Linked DNA regions of Oryctolagus cuniculus. The protein of the gene in region 4 interacts with the protein of the main gene of each other region in a pairwise test. Links are inferred from orthologs where the notes say so. Each region holds a gene or a part of one and is shown on either strand. Other genes may lie near its edges.

What was found. The genes of interacting proteins can lie anywhere in the genome.
Region 1: the proteins of FXR2 (region 4) and TBC1D22B interact in binary tests that used the Homo sapiens proteins (3 or more experiments, as listed by UniProt). The link is inferred for Oryctolagus cuniculus from reciprocal best matches to the Homo sapiens genes FXR2 and TBC1D22B.
Region 2: the proteins of FXR2 (region 4) and NDN interact in a two-hybrid assay, tested with the Homo sapiens proteins (2 studies listed by BioGRID and IntAct). The link is inferred for Oryctolagus cuniculus from reciprocal best matches to the Homo sapiens genes FXR2 and NDN.
Region 3: the proteins of FXR2 (region 4) and PAICS interact in binary tests that used the Homo sapiens proteins (3 or more experiments, as listed by UniProt). The link is inferred for Oryctolagus cuniculus from reciprocal best matches to the Homo sapiens genes FXR2 and PAICS.

The regions. Positions count from the first base shown.
Region 1 is NC_091436.1:132,390,660-132,394,940, forward strand, and holds the start of TBC1D22B (TBC1 domain family member 22B), read right to left. Parts: upstream 2,801-4,281; 5' UTR 2,722-2,800; coding exon 2,666-2,721; intron 1-2,665. UniProt on the Homo sapiens protein: May act as a GTPase-activating protein for Rab family protein(s).
Region 2 is NC_091443.1:13,452,797-13,456,232, reverse strand, and holds NDN (necdin), read left to right. Parts: upstream 1-1,254; 5' UTR 1,255-1,387; coding exon 1,388-2,365; 3' UTR 2,366-2,936; downstream 2,937-3,436. UniProt on the Homo sapiens protein: Growth suppressor that facilitates the entry of the cell into cell cycle arrest.
Region 3 is NC_091439.1:108,090,219-108,094,293, reverse strand, and holds the start of PAICS (bifunctional phosphoribosylaminoimidazole carboxylase/phosphoribosylaminoimidazole succinocarboxamide synthetase), read left to right. Parts: upstream 1-1,275; 5' UTR 1,276-1,431; coding exon 1,432-1,447; intron 1,448-4,075. Other genes in the region: PPAT (amidophosphoribosyltransferase), read right to left, coding at 511-638. UniProt on the Homo sapiens protein: Bifunctional phosphoribosylaminoimidazole carboxylase and phosphoribosylaminoimidazole succinocarboxamide synthetase catalyzing two reactions of the de novo purine biosynthetic pathway.
Region 4 is NC_091448.1:52,173,967-52,178,200, forward strand, and holds the start of FXR2 (RNA-binding protein FXR2), read right to left. Parts: upstream 2,801-4,234; 5' UTR 2,431-2,800; coding exon 2,350-2,430; intron 1-2,349. UniProt on the Homo sapiens protein: mRNA-binding protein that acts as a regulator of mRNAs translation and/or stability, and which is required for adult hippocampal neurogenesis. Specifically binds to AU-rich elements (AREs) in the 3'-UTR of target mRNAs.

The DNA of each region.
Region 1 (4,281 bases), on a different chromosome or scaffold from region 4:
TTCTTGGCTTTTTGGCTAAGATCAAGTGAAGAGTCAAAAGATATATTGGGGGCCGGCACTATGTTGTGGCAGGTAAAGCCGCTGTCTGCAGTGCTGGCATCCCATATGGACGTTGGTTCAAGTCCCGACTGCTCCACTTGCAATCCAGCTCTCTGTTGTGGCCTGGGAAGGCAGTAGAAGATGGCCCACGTTTTTGGGCCCCTGCACCCAAGTGGGAGACCTGGAAGAAGCTCCTGGCTTAAGATAGTGCAGCTCCGGCAGTTGTGGCCAACTGAGGGAGGGAACCAGAGGATGGAGAACCTCTCTCTCTCTCTGCCTCTCCTTCTCTCTATGTGTAACTCTGACTTTCAAATAAATACATAAATCTTAAAAAAAAAAAGTTATATTGAGAAAATGCTCTAACATTTTCCTTTCATCAAGGCACCTTTCCATCTACAAGATGCCTGGGTAGTTTTCTCCCATAATCAGGAGCTCCTGGGGCCTCGCAGATAAAGGCACACAGCTGAACCATATTTCTCTTCAACAATCAAAGTACTAAAAGCTAGTATGAATTGTGCCAGTATTTTATGGTTAGAACAAAGAATGAAGACTTGAACTAGGGCTGGGGTAAGGGATCTGAGCAATATTCTTTTCAACAATTACTTGCTCTAGAAACAGCAATACTGAGCAACTATAATGTGTTAAATAAACGGTCCTAGGTTCTTTACAAATAGGGTATTTTATTAGTAATCCCAGGAACCCTGAGGGAAGTATTTTTATTTCTCATTTCACAGATAAGGAAACAGAGGCCTGGATGTCAATCATTTGTCTTTGACACACAGGTAAGAGAGTTCAAATAATGAGCCAAGGCTTTTTAAACCCTAAGGTTCTCTCCTCTTCCCTTCTGTATTCTTCAAAATGGAAGAGTCAGACACTTGAAGAAATGAAGACTCCTCTCCCAGAGCCCAAGTGCTTGGGCCCCTGCGCCCACGTGGCAGACCTGGAAGAAGCTCCAGGCTCCTGGCTTCAGATCAGCTCAGCTCCAAGTTGTTGCGGCCATTTGGGGAGTGAACCAGTGGATGGAAGACCTCTCTCTCTGTCTCTCCCTCTTTCGGTCTGTAACTCTACCTCTCAAATAAATAAATGAATAAAATCTTTCTTTAAAAAAAAAAAAAAAGACTCCTCTTCCTATCTCACATAGTGCTTTAGAAAAGTTGACTGTTTCAGTATTAAACAGAAGCCAGTGAACAGCAACCAGTGTCAGAAGGCACAAAGGACCATGCCATGTCCCTCATCTCCTGCACTGCTTCCTGTTGGAACAGTTTTCCTGCTGAGTCTCATTATAACCTTAGGACATCAAAATTTAATGATCTCATGATGGAAAACCCCAGAGAACAGCATTTAGCATAACTGGAGAGTTCACTAGATCAGGAAGGAAAAGAAATCAGGTGGCAGGAAGCGATGCTTATCTAAAGACACACAACATCTTTAACACGATATTAACAGTCATTCCAGTGTAATTTCCATGTTAATCTGAGGCTGTCTTTGCATTGCCTTCTATTAATATGTATTACTAAAAGCTGATCCCCACTCCATTTCCCATATGTTTAATAGGATCCTAAATAAGGTAAGACTGCCAAGACACTACGGACTGTTCATTTCTCTTTGCTTTAGAGGAAAATACTCAGTCATAAGTTCAAAGAATTACCAATTATCCCAGAAAGAAAAGAACTGAATCAATTAGGAAAGGTGGCAGGGGAGGGCACAGCCAAACGTGAATTTCATCACCAACTGGACTGTGGCTGGCAGAAATCTTAAATTCACAATTGAAACACACTTTCCTCCTTAGACTTCTAAGGACTCAGCCCAAAACAACCCAAACTGTCAACTAACGGCAGATTGGGGGATGGACAACTGCTAAAAAGTCTCAACACATGCCAAAATGGAAAAAAAAAAAAATCGCTTAGAAGGTCTGCCCTCCACGAAACCACTGAAGAATGAAAGAATTCAGTGTGTGTGCACAAGAAGACCATTACAATGCAGGGGGTGGGGGGAAGAGGTCACTTGGAGTTGGACAAATCCCTAGAAAATGCTAGAGAAAAACACCGACTCTGTGGTCTCCCTGTAAGAAATCCTTGACGGGAAAGGGTCAACTCAAGATAAAGTGGGGTCAGGCTGCAGAACTGCTCTCACTTTTCCTGGACCCCCACCCCCCGCCCCGACCCCTTTCCTCGCAGGCGGCCCCAAGCTCCCACCAGAACCCTTTGGGAGAAGATTTGCACCTGAGGAGCTGGGGGAGCCAAGGAAGGGGCCACCCTCGAGTAAGCAACCACCTGTGCATGCTGGAGACCCCCGAGGAGTTCTCTTCAAAGTGGGAAGTGGCTCTGGGAATGGCCCCCCAAGCCCCGGGGGCGACACGGGGTTCTCCCTCAACTCCTCTGCCCCCTGTGCCCGGTCGTCGGCCACCCCCCAGCTGAGGTCACCTCTCCTGAGACCTCCGCCCTCAGACCCCGGTCTGTACCTCACACCCAGCCGTCCCCGCTCCTCTGCCTGACAGCCGCCCTGCCGCTACCAGGCAGCCCTGACTGCTCGGTCCTGGGGTCCCCACATCAGTCGCAAGATTTAGGGATTAGGATTTGGAAGGGTTTGGTCCAATCCCGGCTCCCTCTCAGCGTCCTGGGCTCACCTCCCCGGCAGCTTGGCGCTCCTCTTCCAAAACTGCTTGCTGTTCTCGGCGGCCATTGCTCTGGCCCGGGGAAGGCCTTGTAGGTGGGTCAGGGGGTGCCCGACGAGACGCCCCCGAGACCCCGCAATCTGAGGGCCAACCCAGGCCGCTTCCCCGTCGCCGGTCACCCGCTCCCAGCTCCTGGGGGCGCCATCTTGGATGTGGGCACCCGCCCACCCAGCGCAGCTGCCATTGGTGGGCTGCGCCAGCCGTGAACAGACGGGCCAATCGGGAGCCGGAATCCTGTAGGATGCTGAAGCCGAACGGTAACGTCAGGGGCTGGGCACCCAGGTGGGCCGGGAAGGCGGAGCTTGAGCGAGCCGGGAGGCGGGGCAGAAAGTTCCTACCCACGAGAGGGAAGAAGCAGGTAAAGAAAGCGACCCACGGGAAGGAGGCACGGGGGCTGTTTTCTTCTGGGGAAATGAGATCCCGGAGTCTGCTATTATTTGTAAGGAGGGCCATAGTGTGTATTTATAAACATAAATCTTTGACCTTGTTGGTTGTGACCCATTTTTAACGACACCCAACTCAGTGACACTTCGGTGATAGCCACCCCTTCCTCGTTCCGGTTCCGTTTAGGTCCGGAGTTTTTTTTTTTTTTTTTCTCCCTATGAAGGACTCAGTTAACCCACGCTCCCTAACTGTTCAACATGTGACAGTGGGTTCAGGAGTCTCCCTCCTCTGTTGACTGAATACTTTTAAAGGATTTGTGCTGTGAATGAAACGCCAAGGATCGAATCCTGTTTTAATCCGTAACTCTCACTTTCTGACAGTGAAAGCCTAGATACTGACTGACAGACGTGTTTAGGGAATGTGGTTGCGTCCATCCAATCCACATGACCAAGTACCCCATTTCTTTAGAGCATATCGTGTATCTCCATGATGTGAATCACCAAGATGCGGGTGTACCCCCACACACTTATCCTTAATTTCCCTTCTTAATCTATTGTAAATCTTTCACCCTTGAATTTGTTCTCAATCTAATTTTGTCTCAGAATGAAATTTAATATTAGCATTTTAAACTCTTTGAAATGTTTTGTCTGCGCTTTGTGCTTTTTTTTTTTTTAAGATTTGTTTATTTATTTGAAAGGCAGAGTTACAGAGAGAAGAGAGAGAGATCTTGATATCTTCCATCCACTGGGTGTCACTTCCCAAATGGCCAAAATGGTCGGAGCTGGGCTGATCTGAAGGCAGGAGCCAGGAGCTTCTTCCTGGTCTCCCGTGCGGGTACAGGAACCCAAGCACTTGGGCCATCTTCCACTGCTTTACAAGGTGCATTAGCAGGGAGCTGGATTGGAAGTGGAGCAGCCAGGACTCAAACCGGTGTCCATATGGGATGCTGGCGCTGCAGACCACGGCTCAACCTGCTATGCCACAATGCCAGCCCCTTGTGCTCTTTTTGAGATTTTGTGGACTGGGGAGAAATAGAAAGTACACTCCATCCACAGTAATTTTTGTTCCAACAGAGGATGGTTGAGGTGGCTGATTGTCTCCATCCCTAGCCCATTGACTTTTCACAAGTTGAATACTTGAGGACTTCCTATCTAAAAAGAAGGATGTTTTATATGCCCTCCAAT
Region 2 (3,436 bases), on a different chromosome or scaffold from region 4:
GATGAAAAGTTAAAATGGAATCAAAGTGACCCAAGGGAAGATGAAAATCAAAATCCATAATCAAAAGACTAATGAATCAACATAAGTAGCTATTTATAGATGAATGAATGAAGGAAATGTGGTATATACACACAATGGAACACTATTCAGCCAGAGAAAAAGAATGCCATCAGTCAGTTGAGGTAACACCAATGAGCCTGGAGGACAATATGTTAATCGATATGCACCAGGCACAGACAGACAAATACTACATGTCCTCACTCACATGTAGAAAGCTAAATAAGTTGGTCTCATGGAAGGTGAGATTAGAAAACTGGTTATCAAAGACTGGGAAGAAGAAGAGAAAGGGAGACACAGAAAAGTCAATTACATGCTACATAAATACAATTAAATGCAACAAAAAAATTTCCAGTGTTCTGTATCACATTAGGTGATTATAATTAACAATACTTTAATTATATATTACAAAATAGCTATATGGAAGGATTTTGACTGTCCCGTAACACAAAGAAATGAAAATGTGGGAAGTGGTGGATATGCTAATTACCCTGATTTGATCAATACACATCATATATATTTATGGAAATAGCACCCTGTTCCCCCAAAATATGTGCAATTATTATGTCAATTAAAAATGTAAAAATACACAAAAAATGTCAAAGTTGTTTTAAACCCATTATCTCCAGCATCATTCACATTTTGCACGGACTGATAGGGAATTTACCAATTCTGCATTCCTCCTTATTTTATACTCTTCCTCCTCCTACTCTCGGAATTTTGTAGGGAGAGACTTCATCAACTCTTACTGGTATTTCCCAGGATTCCAGTCTCAGATCTTCCCAAAGTTCGCATATTTTCTTAGAGAATCCCAACTATTCACATTCTCTTGAGGAATCCCAGCTGCTCCTCTCACTTGGTCGCAGGAAACCGGGAGCTCTCTCTGGGACGCTCCTGTCACACTTAGTCCTGGACAAACCCAGGTGGACCCTTGTAAGAAACTCTACCTCACCACGTGGGAAACTGAAGTTACCATCTTCCCCTTTAAACTTGCCCCTTCCTCAGCGACCACCCAGCCCCTCCTGCCCTCCCCAAGGCCGCCTCGTCCACGCAGGAAACCCGGGGTCATTCCCATCAGGCCAGCAGCGGCTCCACCTCAGACCCTCGCCGTCGGGCGCACAGCCCCTCCCCTCCCGCCCAGTCCGAATCGCGCGGCCCGCGGACGCGCAGGCGCAGTGTCCCGTCGTCCCGCCGCCGCCCCGCCCTGCCCGCCGCTGCGGAAGGCGCCGCGCGCAGCTACGCGCACTTCCTCTCAGGGAGACCGCGGAGGGAACGCAGGCTCGAAGAGCTCCGGGACGCTGAGGCCCTGCTCCTGTCAGACGGCGCAGACATGTCGGAACAAAGTAAGGACCTGAGCGACCCCGACTTGACAGCCGAGACCCCCAGCCGCGAAGTGCACAGCAGCCCAGGGGTTCCGGCGGGGGGCCCTGCGCCCGTCTCCCCTGCAGCGACCCTCGCAGGGCCACAGAGCCCTCCTCCAGGCCCGACGGCGCTCTCACAGCCCGAGCCGCCGCCCCAGGCCCCGAGCGATGAGGATGACCCGAAGGCCCTGCTGCAGGCAGCTGAGGAGGGCCGCGCCCACCAGGCCCCGAGCGCGGCCCAGCTGGGCCCCGCGCCGCCCGCCCCGGCCCAGCTGGTGCAGAAGGCACATGAGCTCATGTGGTACGTGCTGGTCAAGGACCAGAAGAAGATGATCATCTGGTTTCCAGACATGGTGAAAGATGTCATTGGCAGCTACAAGAAATGGTGCAGAAGCATCCTCAGGCGCACCAGCCTCATCCTCGCCCGAGTCTTTGGGCTGCACCTGAGGCTGACCAGCCTGCACACGATGGAGTTTGCGCTGGTCAAGGCTCTCGACCCCGAGGAGCTGGACAGGGTGGCACTGAGCAACCGGATGCCCATGACAGGCCTTCTGCTCATGATCCTGAGCCTCATCTACGTGAAGGGCCGAGGCGCCAGAGAGAGCGCCGTCTGGAACGTGCTGCGCATCTTGGGGCTGCGGCCCTGGAAGAAGCATTCCACCTTCGGGGACGTGAGAAAGCTCATCACCGAGGAGTTCGTCCAGCAGAATTACCTGAAGTACCAGCGCGTACCCTATGTTGAACCTCCGGAGTATGAGTTCTTTTGGGGCTCCCGAGCCACGCAAGAGATTACCAAGATGCAGATCATGGAGTTCCTGGCCAGGGTTTTTAAGAAAGATCCCCAGGCCTGGCCTTCCAGATACAGAGAAGCTCTGGAGGAGGCCAGAGCTCTGCGGGAGGCCAGTCCCAGTGTCCACTGCCCCCGAAGCAGTGTGTCTGAGGACTAGTGAGGTCTGGAGGCAGATTGATGGTTTCCAACCCCCACCAGGGCTGTGGAAGGGTGGGGGGCAGGTCTTAGAGTATTCAGGATTTACAGTGCAGTATTTCACGTGTAACCTTTCAGTTATCAGTACAGTGCTTTTATACCTTTTAATGCAATGTTGTATTCATTTGGGTACTATCAAGTAGTGTCTAGCATTTATGCATGTTTGTTTATAAGTAAGCTCTGTTGGTGCTTCGCTTTTGTGCTACCTTTCTTGGATTTTTTGTACCAGAGATGTGCTAAACTTATGAAATACATTGAGAAGTTTTCCATCTTATTCTTTTATATGGGACGATTGATGTGTACTGTATGATTGATGCACCTGGTGAGTGTGGAGAACTCACCAGCAAAGCTGGCCTAACCAAGAGAAAAGCCTAAGGCCCCTCTTTATGACCTTGATGGGCATGAGCAACATCTGGAGTGAACTGTTTTGAACTGAGATGGTCTCAATGTGGGCACTTGGCACACTTTACTAAACACATATACAACCTACCATGAGTAAACTTTAAACATTAAAGATTCTTGTGATACAATCATTTTTGGAGAACTGTACTCTATCATTTTAATAAACGGTATCATAGGGAATGAGAAGGGATTCCCCATTGTACAAAATATGCAAATACTTCATGATTAATCCTAAATGTGTATTTATATTGTATTATAAATACAACTCATATTTGTTTCAAAAGGTTTGAGAAATACAGAATGTGTAATGTCCCCAAAACAAGTAAAATTTTCCACAATCATAACACAAGGAAATAGCAATTGATCATATTTAAGATAATTTCTTGCCTTCATTTTCTATACTTTATCAAAGTTAATAGCTGCCTTTAGTGGTCTCTTAAAGAGGGAGGAATAGTGTTTTGTTAACTTTTGCCTTTTATTTAGTGCCCTCACTAAATAGTCGCTTATTACATCCACACAATGGAGGAAATCAGGAACAAAGTAGGGATGAACTTTGTGTAACTCACATAGCTGAGTAAAAGAGGGTGCTAGGATTTGAACCTATGCTATGAATCTGGAGCCCACATTCGTG
Region 3 (4,075 bases), on a different chromosome or scaffold from region 4:
CGCGGGAGCACCAGCCCCACTCCTCACTCCCCCTTTCCAGGGAAGCTCATTTTGGCATCTCCCTAGCTCGCTCGTGCGTCCCCTCCACAGGTTACTCCAAGTCTCCCGGATCCGGACGCCGGGACCCCCTCCTCCCCTCCAGTTCCCACTGCTGTGACTACTCTCAAACCCACCACCGGCTCCAGGGCTGTGTCCTGGAAACAAAAGCTTGTGCTGGTCGTCGGACCGGGTCCGGGCACCTCCCGGCACGAGCCTACCCCGCGAGCAGCCCCACGTTCGGGGGGCGCCAGAACCCGCAGGCAGTCGGGGACGAGCCTAGCGGAACCTCAGAAGCTGGCGGGACTCGGAGGGGAGTGAGGGCCCCAAAAGGCAAGAGGCACGGGACTGTGTGCGTTAACGTCCCGGGGCGTGCCACGGGCAGGTGCACGTCCAGGTAACGGAGGCCAGGGCTCCGGGCCCTCGAGCGCTCGCGAGAGGCACCGCCACCCCCGCCCTCCCCGCGCGGCTCACCGGTGCTGCAGCCCCACGAGTCCCAGCGTGATCACATGCGGCACATCCAGCTGCGTGGGCCACTCTCCTGAGGCGATGCACCCGAACACGCCACATTCCTCTCGGATTCCTAACTCTTCCAGCTCCATGTCGCCGCCGAAAGCACGTGGAGGAAGCTGCAGCCGCGGCCCGGGTCGGCGCACCAACCAGCTGCAGCCTTGAAACCAACGCCTCAGAAGACCGCGCCGGAGACAGCGGCTTCCTCCCCAGCACCGAGCGTCTGCTCGCTACTGCGGCGGCGCGTGCTGTCCCCGCCCCCTCCGTGGGCGGGGCCGCAGCCCCCGCGTCCCGCCCCCCACAGGGCCCGCCAATGAGTGAGGGCAGAGAGCGAGGCTCCGCGGCCGAGGGGAGGAGTCCCGCATACAGTAGGGGTGGAGCTACTCCTCCCCCACCCCCGGAGACGCCCGGACAGTATACTCTCCCGCACGTGGAAATCTCCGTTACTCTCTAGTCCTCAATGCTGGGGTGACGAGAATAACGGGGTTAGCATCCTGGCCCTCGCCCAAGAGGCACACGTCGCGCGCCCCTCCGCACGTGCCTTCCCCCGGCCGGGACGACTTGGTACGCTCCAAGCCCTGACCGGCTTCCTCCGGCTCCGAGGGGCCCCAGCCTGCGGTCGGCGCGGAGCGGGGAGGGGCCGCCAGCGCGCGCCACTTTCCGGCTCCCCGGGAACGCCGCCCGGGGGCGGGGTCGCGCCGGCGCGCCTGCGCGGCGGGAAGCCCCGGGCAGAGACCCTGCCGCGTGCATTCGCACGTAGATCGCGGTCGGCCGAGCTGCGCGGCGGCGGCCGCCGACTCTGCGAGAGCCCCGCCTCCGCGGCCCGCGCGCTGCGCCTCTCGGCCTCTTTTCCAGATTTGTGCGGCCCTTGGTCCACTCGGGATAATGGCGACGGCCGAGGGTGAGTGGCGGGCGCCCGGGGCCGGCCCGGCGGCTGAGGTGGCCGAGGCGGCTGAGGCGGCCGGGCTCTGGGCGGACGCACACGTGGCCCGAGCGCCCGGAGCGCGGGACGCGGTGGCGAGGGGCGAGCGTGGGGCGGGTCCCTGGGACAAAAGGCGGTCGGAAGCGCTCTGGTCATGAATAGCTATTGCAAAGCAACTGCTTGAAATTCTGGTGCTGACTTCAAACCCTAGAGTCTTGGTTGTTCCAGGTTCTTGATTAAACTGAAAATCTGGCCAGGTTTTGTGCAGTTTGGTCTTTTTTTTTTTTTTTTTTTTTACTTTTTAAAGCAGTCTTTGATGGCTTTGCTGAGTTCCAAAACCTGCAGGCAAAAACAAAAAAAAAAAAGGGTTGCTAGCTTCATTTTGCATTTACCGCATTTACGTCGTAGCGGTAACCTTTGCGCTCAGGTCGACTGGAACGATGGTTCTTGCCGTGGATGTGGAATCGGACGTGATACGATGTTTCCGACAAATACGCAGTGAACCAGATGGCCTGTGTCATCCGCCAGTACATTCTTTTTGCACGTAGGAGACAAACTGGATTTAGATCAGAGAGTTGTAAGCTGGGGCCGGCGTGATGGCGAAGGTTCGAGTCCTGGCCCGGGAAAGCAGCAGAGGATGGCCCGAGGGACTGGGCCCCTGCGCCCACGTGGGAGGCCTGGATAGGGCTCCTGGCTTGGCGGTTGCGGCCAGCTGGGGAGTGAGCCATCGTAAAAAGAGCGTTGTAAACTCACCGGGAAGAGCCGATTCCTTCAGCCATCCTTAGTCCTCATCAGCCTCTTCTGAACTCTTCTGCAAAGTTACAGCATTTTGATAATTGCGCAACCGCTCCATAAAACCAAGGGCTGGCCAGTTTTTCCTGCAGTCAGGGTGCCTGAACCTGGTGGGACCTCTCAAGGTTTTGTTCCAGCACTTACATCTTGGATACCAGTGGCAGGTTAGCTTTCCCAGAATGAAGGCCCGTCTTGGTCAGAAAAATGCTCAGTGGCTTCCCTGGAGCTGTTGCAGCCTGTTCCTAAGTTCCTGTGATTGGAACCCTGCGTAAAGCTGTCCTTCCTACCTCTTCCACCCTAATTTGTCTTGGTAGGAATCCTTACCCTACATTCCAGTGAGTTTAATTCACAGAGGTCACATTTTATTTTTTCTTTTTGTTATTGTTGTTCTAGAACAATGCTGGCTAAAAGAAATATAAAGTGAACCATATACATAAATTTGTTTTTTAACAGCCCTCTTTCTGAAGTTTTTTATAAATTTGGTAAAATGAGTTTTAATGGCTTTTATTTAACCCAGGATATCCCAAATATGAACATTTCAACATGTGATTTATAGAAAAAATTCCTTGAGGTATTTTGCATCCTTTTTTTTTCCACGTTGAGTGTGGTGTGTAGTTTATACATAAATCACATCTCAGTTTGGAGTCATCATGTTTCAAGTGTTTGATGATTGCCTGGTAAAGTTCTTTTCTATGGAAATTCTATGCTTTTGATAACTTTTAAATTTCAGTTCCATGAGCCATTCTCAGTCCTTCTCAGTCTCTTCTGAACTCATCTAATAATTGACAGCATTTTGGCACTTTGAGCAAGTGTCCGGATGGTTGAGTCTACCCATTGCCATTGCTGTCCTATTTCATGACTGGGCAATAAGCAGAGATTGAACCATTCTTGCTTCCTATAGCTCTTTTGTCCACCACACTGAATCGGTTCTCTCTCTCTCTCAAACATCTTGCCTCTTCTCCCACTGCTTTTCCCTTAGACTGTGACATTTCTTGCCTGGGTTGCTGCAGTAGCAGCAGCTTCCTAACGGGTCTCCCAGAGTCTGGTTTTGTTCCAACCATGCCTTCGTTCTCCACACAGCAACCACAAGGATCTTTCTGGAATGCAAATCTAGCATTTCACTACAGAGCTTAAAAGCCCTATCTATGGTTGTTCCTAGGATAAAGTCAGCTCAATCAACTTGGCCTACAAGGCCTGAGGAAATGGAAGAGAAAGGAACAGAAGTGGGCAGGAGGGGGATAAGAATTCCATGGAAGAAGTTGGAACGCTAGGCAGGGACTGGAGAAATAAGTATAGAGCACTAAACTGGGGCTGTATGCTGGAGGGTTTGTTTTTTATCTGCAAGAGGGTGAGCAGGCTCTCGCAGGTGCTGTTTCACTCCTACATGCCTGCAGCTAGGAGCCATGGACTCAAGCCAGGTCTTCTCCATGGGTGACAGGAACCGGATTACTTGAGCCATCACCACTGCCTCCCAGGGTCTGCACTGGCAGGAAGTGAGAGCCGGGGGTGGAACCCAGGAGCTCTTGATGTGAGAAGGGGGTATCTTTGCTAGGCCAAGTGCCTGCTCCCCGCTGCAGGGTTTTTTAAGCCTGTTGCTGAGTCTGGTGGATAGTATGTTAGGAGGATACAGATTCATCCTCTAAATTAGGTGCCCTAGGGTAGCAGCTATTGTGCTGAGCTGTCGCTAGTGCTTGCCTCTGCCAGCTGCTAATGTGAGCCCTGCACAAGTCTTGGGTCTCGCTTCCTGCTGTCCCCGTGGCGAGGGACCTGCACCCACAGCGCTGGTGCTGCAGCCACACTGCAGTTCTGCTGAAC
Region 4 (4,234 bases):
GCAGCTTCCCAAACTTATAGTTCCAGAAGCAGTAGGAATGCTCCTTGACCTACACTAAAGTTTGCTGAGTCATGAATATTAAATTAAATCAGCAGCAAGGTCAGCATGGATAAATATCTATATGACACTGAGCTGAAGAAAGATTAGTCTCAATTCAGAGATTTGTTTTGTTGTTTTTTTACCTTAGGTATGGGACAAAAAATGCTAATGTTGCCAGAACACAAAATCCACATTACCTCACTTTCAGTTCAACTCCAAACTCTACTCTGATTCAAAGTATTCTGTGCCCCAATTCTTCAAGTCACTCATGGCCACAGCCCAAGAGCAAAAAGGGAAAGTCAGAGACTTCCTGTTGTACACTTAGATGTGGATTACAGGAAAGATGGCCCTTCCCAGCTGTTTCACACATTTACTGTGAAGTGGGTACCATTCTTTCCCAGCTGTGCCTGGCTGTCATGCTTCCTAGAAAAAAAGCAAACATCATTATCTTGATCTCAAACTCAATTTAAGAATCATTTCTCTTGGACTCCAGAACTCGGGGGTGGGCAGGACTCAGATGAAAGACAAGACACTGGGATAAACAAGGCTAACATCTTATGAGGCAGGGTTTTCAACAAAGGTAATGCAAGACTGGAGGAAAGGATGTTAAGAGGCAAATGTGCTCTATCAGAACCAGAAAGGAATTAGAGACGTTTTGCCAAAGAAAACAGAAATGAAGAAAAAGTCCTAAGAGTTAGGAAAGTATGCAAAAAATGACAAAAGCAATCAGCTGGGAGCTTCCTTCAGCTAGAAGTGTAATAAGGTGGTTCCTGGGGATTATAGAAATATTAGGATAAAAGGCCAAAGACTTGAACTGAGAGGATGAGTTATGAACAGACACTAGATATACAGCAATCTGGAGAAGAAAGGAAGCAAAGAAGAGTGAATAGGTACTTACAGAGAGTAAAAAATGACTACAATGAGCTTATCAACTGAAGTGCAGGCAGTTACCATCCACTCCAACCAAGGGCAAGACCCTTTCCAGCTGTAGTAAGAGACGACTTCACAGTCATCAGCTCAAGCCACTTCCAAGGGCATGGGAAGATTGAGAGGTCTTTGTAGGGGGGAAAGACCAGAAGGGAACTGAAGGAGAGCTGGCCCTGGGAAGATCTCTCTCTTGCGACTCCTCAGGATGAAATGAGACAGGAATCAGGAAAATCTCTGGGACAATTCCAGACACAAAGTCCCAAAGAGGTTAGGATTAGCAACAATCACACAAAGAAAAATTCTTTGAGTGGCTAAAAAGGTCTCTCTCTGTACGGCATCATCTAAATGGGGACAAAAAGTTCAAGAAAATGGGTTCTAAACAAATAAAGCAGTAGTAAAAAGAATCCTAAGGAAACCAATCCTGGGCAAGGAGGGAGCTGAAAGAAGCAAGGGTCTTTGAAGGATAGTCCCCTTTTCCTTCCAAAAACAGGCTGCAGGATTCCAGAACTGGGAGAGATGGCCAAAAGTCTTCTAGAAGTGGAAATCCTTAAAAAGAGAAATGGAAGGGCTCATGGGGAGACTCCCTTTTAGACACTATGCATATGAAGCTTACCATCAACATGCAGAAGCTGTATGAATGACCTGAATGGATCTGAGGTCAAGGCACGATAACAAACAGAAACCTTCCCCTGGGTAGAACGGTGGACCACCGGGCTGGCCCGGGACTGAAGGGGGGCTGGGGTGCCAGACTTATGAGCAGAGGCCACTGGCTGGAAGGCAACATGACTGATACAACCTGAGGCCAGAGATGCCAAAAGTCATAAACGGATGTTGACCGTTTCTCCTTGGGTTGGGAACGGCAATGTAAGGCGAAAGTGGGGTGAGCGTTCCAGAGCCAGTAGGCAGAGGCCTCTCTGAGGATAAAGGAGCTAATATGGGACAGAGGGCCTTCCCAAGGGGGTCATGTGGGAGAAGAAAAGAATTGTCCATGTGCTTGGACCGCGGGGAAGAGGTGATTAAAGGCTAAGGTATGGGGCGGGCGTTGTGGCACAGCGAGTTAAGGGCCTAAGGTACGGCTTCCAATAGCAAACAGGAAAAGTCAATTAAGCTGAGGAAAGAGACTTCTCCTGGGGGTCCGGGAGCGCCGATCCAGGCACAGCAATGCCCCGATTCTATTCTGAGCTGAAGGTAAAAGCAGGTATAGGAGCGGAGTCAAAAATAGGAGGAAGAGAGCGAACTCCCGGCAGTCTCCCGGGGAGGGCTGCGGTGGGAGCATGGGTCGAAGGTTCTACGGGTCAGGACTCAGCTCCAGAACCCTGGCCCGCCCCGCTCTGCCTGCTCCGGGAGCTAAAGACGGGGTCCCCGGCCGGCGCACCGCCTCACCTTGTAGAAGGCCCCGTTGGAGCCGCGCACCTCGACCGGCAGTCCCGGCTCCACATCCCCCCCAGAGGCCAGGCCGCCCATGGCGCCGCCGCCGCCTCCGACGCCCCCGGCGGCGGCTGCAGCAGCGGTCTGAGTGCGGGCCGGGCCAGGCCCCCGGCGTCTCCCCGGAGGAGGAGCCGGAGGGGGAGCCGCGGGGGGCGGGAGCCGGGCCGGCCCCACGGCGGCCCTGCCACAGCCAACGAGCAGGGGGCCGGGGCCGGGCCGCTCCCCGTCCGCCGCCGCCGCCTTGGTCTCCGCCACCGTGAGGGAAACGGCCGCCGCCGCCGCTGCCTTCGTCACCTCAGCTTCCGCCCGCCGCCGCCCCCGCTGCTGCCCCAGTCCCGGGACCCGCTGCTGCCGCTGCCGCTCCACGGCCTCCACCTCCCCCTGCCGCCGCCGCCTACTGCGCAGGCGCACCGGGCACCCGCCCGCCGCGCGCGGGACCCCGAGGCCCACGGCGCAGGCGTCAAGGCCGGCGACCCAGCTCGCGCTCGCCAGCGCATCAGGGCTTCCACATTCCCTTTCGCTCTCTCACGCCCTCTCGTGGTCGCTTCCTTGCGCTTGCGCAGAACGAGATTAGCCCTCTTTCTTCCCCACCCGCCCCTCCACAGCCCCCATCTCTTCCTTTCCCCGCCCCACAACACTCGGCGCTAGCCAATCGCGGGGAGGGAGGAGCCGAGCTCGCGCAATCGGATTGGGCCTCGGCCGCTCGCGCTCAGACCACACCCTCTGCGCCCCGGGAGAGCCGCCGCGCTCGGACAAGTTCGGGGTGGGCATGCGCCTGCATGACTGCTTGGTCACTTTCCTCACCTTTGTCTGTCTTGGTGCGCACGCTCCCAAGGAAAAAAAAAAAAAAAGGGAGAGTCGAAAAGCAAAAAGTGCCCGGCGCGCAGGCGCTGAGCGCCAGTCGGCGCGCACGCACGGACTCTCGTCAGCGTCTCTGCGCTATAGGATATTTGAGACTGGAGCTTGTCGCCTTGAGCGGAGTCTGATAAAATGCGAGGCTAACGAGTCGTCTCGAGGCACTACCGAAAAGCAGCTAGGCTGGTGCAAGATCCCGAGCCTTAAATATTAAAGAAATTCAAAAGAGGAAAAATTTTCAGAAGTGAGGATGGTAGCGAGAAAACTTCGTATTCCTGAACTAAGATAAGAAATTAGGAGAAAGTTAAAAAAAAAAAACACACAGACATTAGAACAGTCTGCATGTAATCATTTAGCCAATATTTATTTTACTCACACTATGTTCCAATCAATGCGCTCAGTGCTAAGGGTTACAAAGACAAAAACACATTGCAAGGTACCAAGGCACATGTAACAGATTGGCAAAGGGACGATTAAATATATAAACGCATACAGTTTGATGGAAGCTGTGATAGATTTAAGGAGGGGAATTCTGAGGAGACATTGGTTAGTTGTTCTCAGGAGTGGTCAGGGAAGACCACCCAGAGGAGTTGATGCAAGGGATGAGTGGAGTTTGCTGGGGGAGAAATGCAGTCACAGTATTCCGGAGAGAATGAGGGATGCAATGGTGCAGAAACACAGAAAGCGCATGGCCTTGGAGGAGCACAATTACCAAAGTTCAAGTAGTATTTGCTGTGACGTGGGGAGCCACAAGAAAAAAAAAGGTAAAAAGAAATGCAATAAGAAAAAATATGTAAGTATTTAAAGATATATATATATTTAACTGGCTTATTGGCCTTCTTTTAAACTGAAGGAGATCAACTAATCCAGTCAAAGTTTTTCATATCCCTGCAAAGTTTATTTTTTAAAGATTCATTTATTTGAAAGGCAGAATTACAGAGAGAAAGGCAGAGACGGAGAGCGAGCGAGCACATCCACCTGCTGG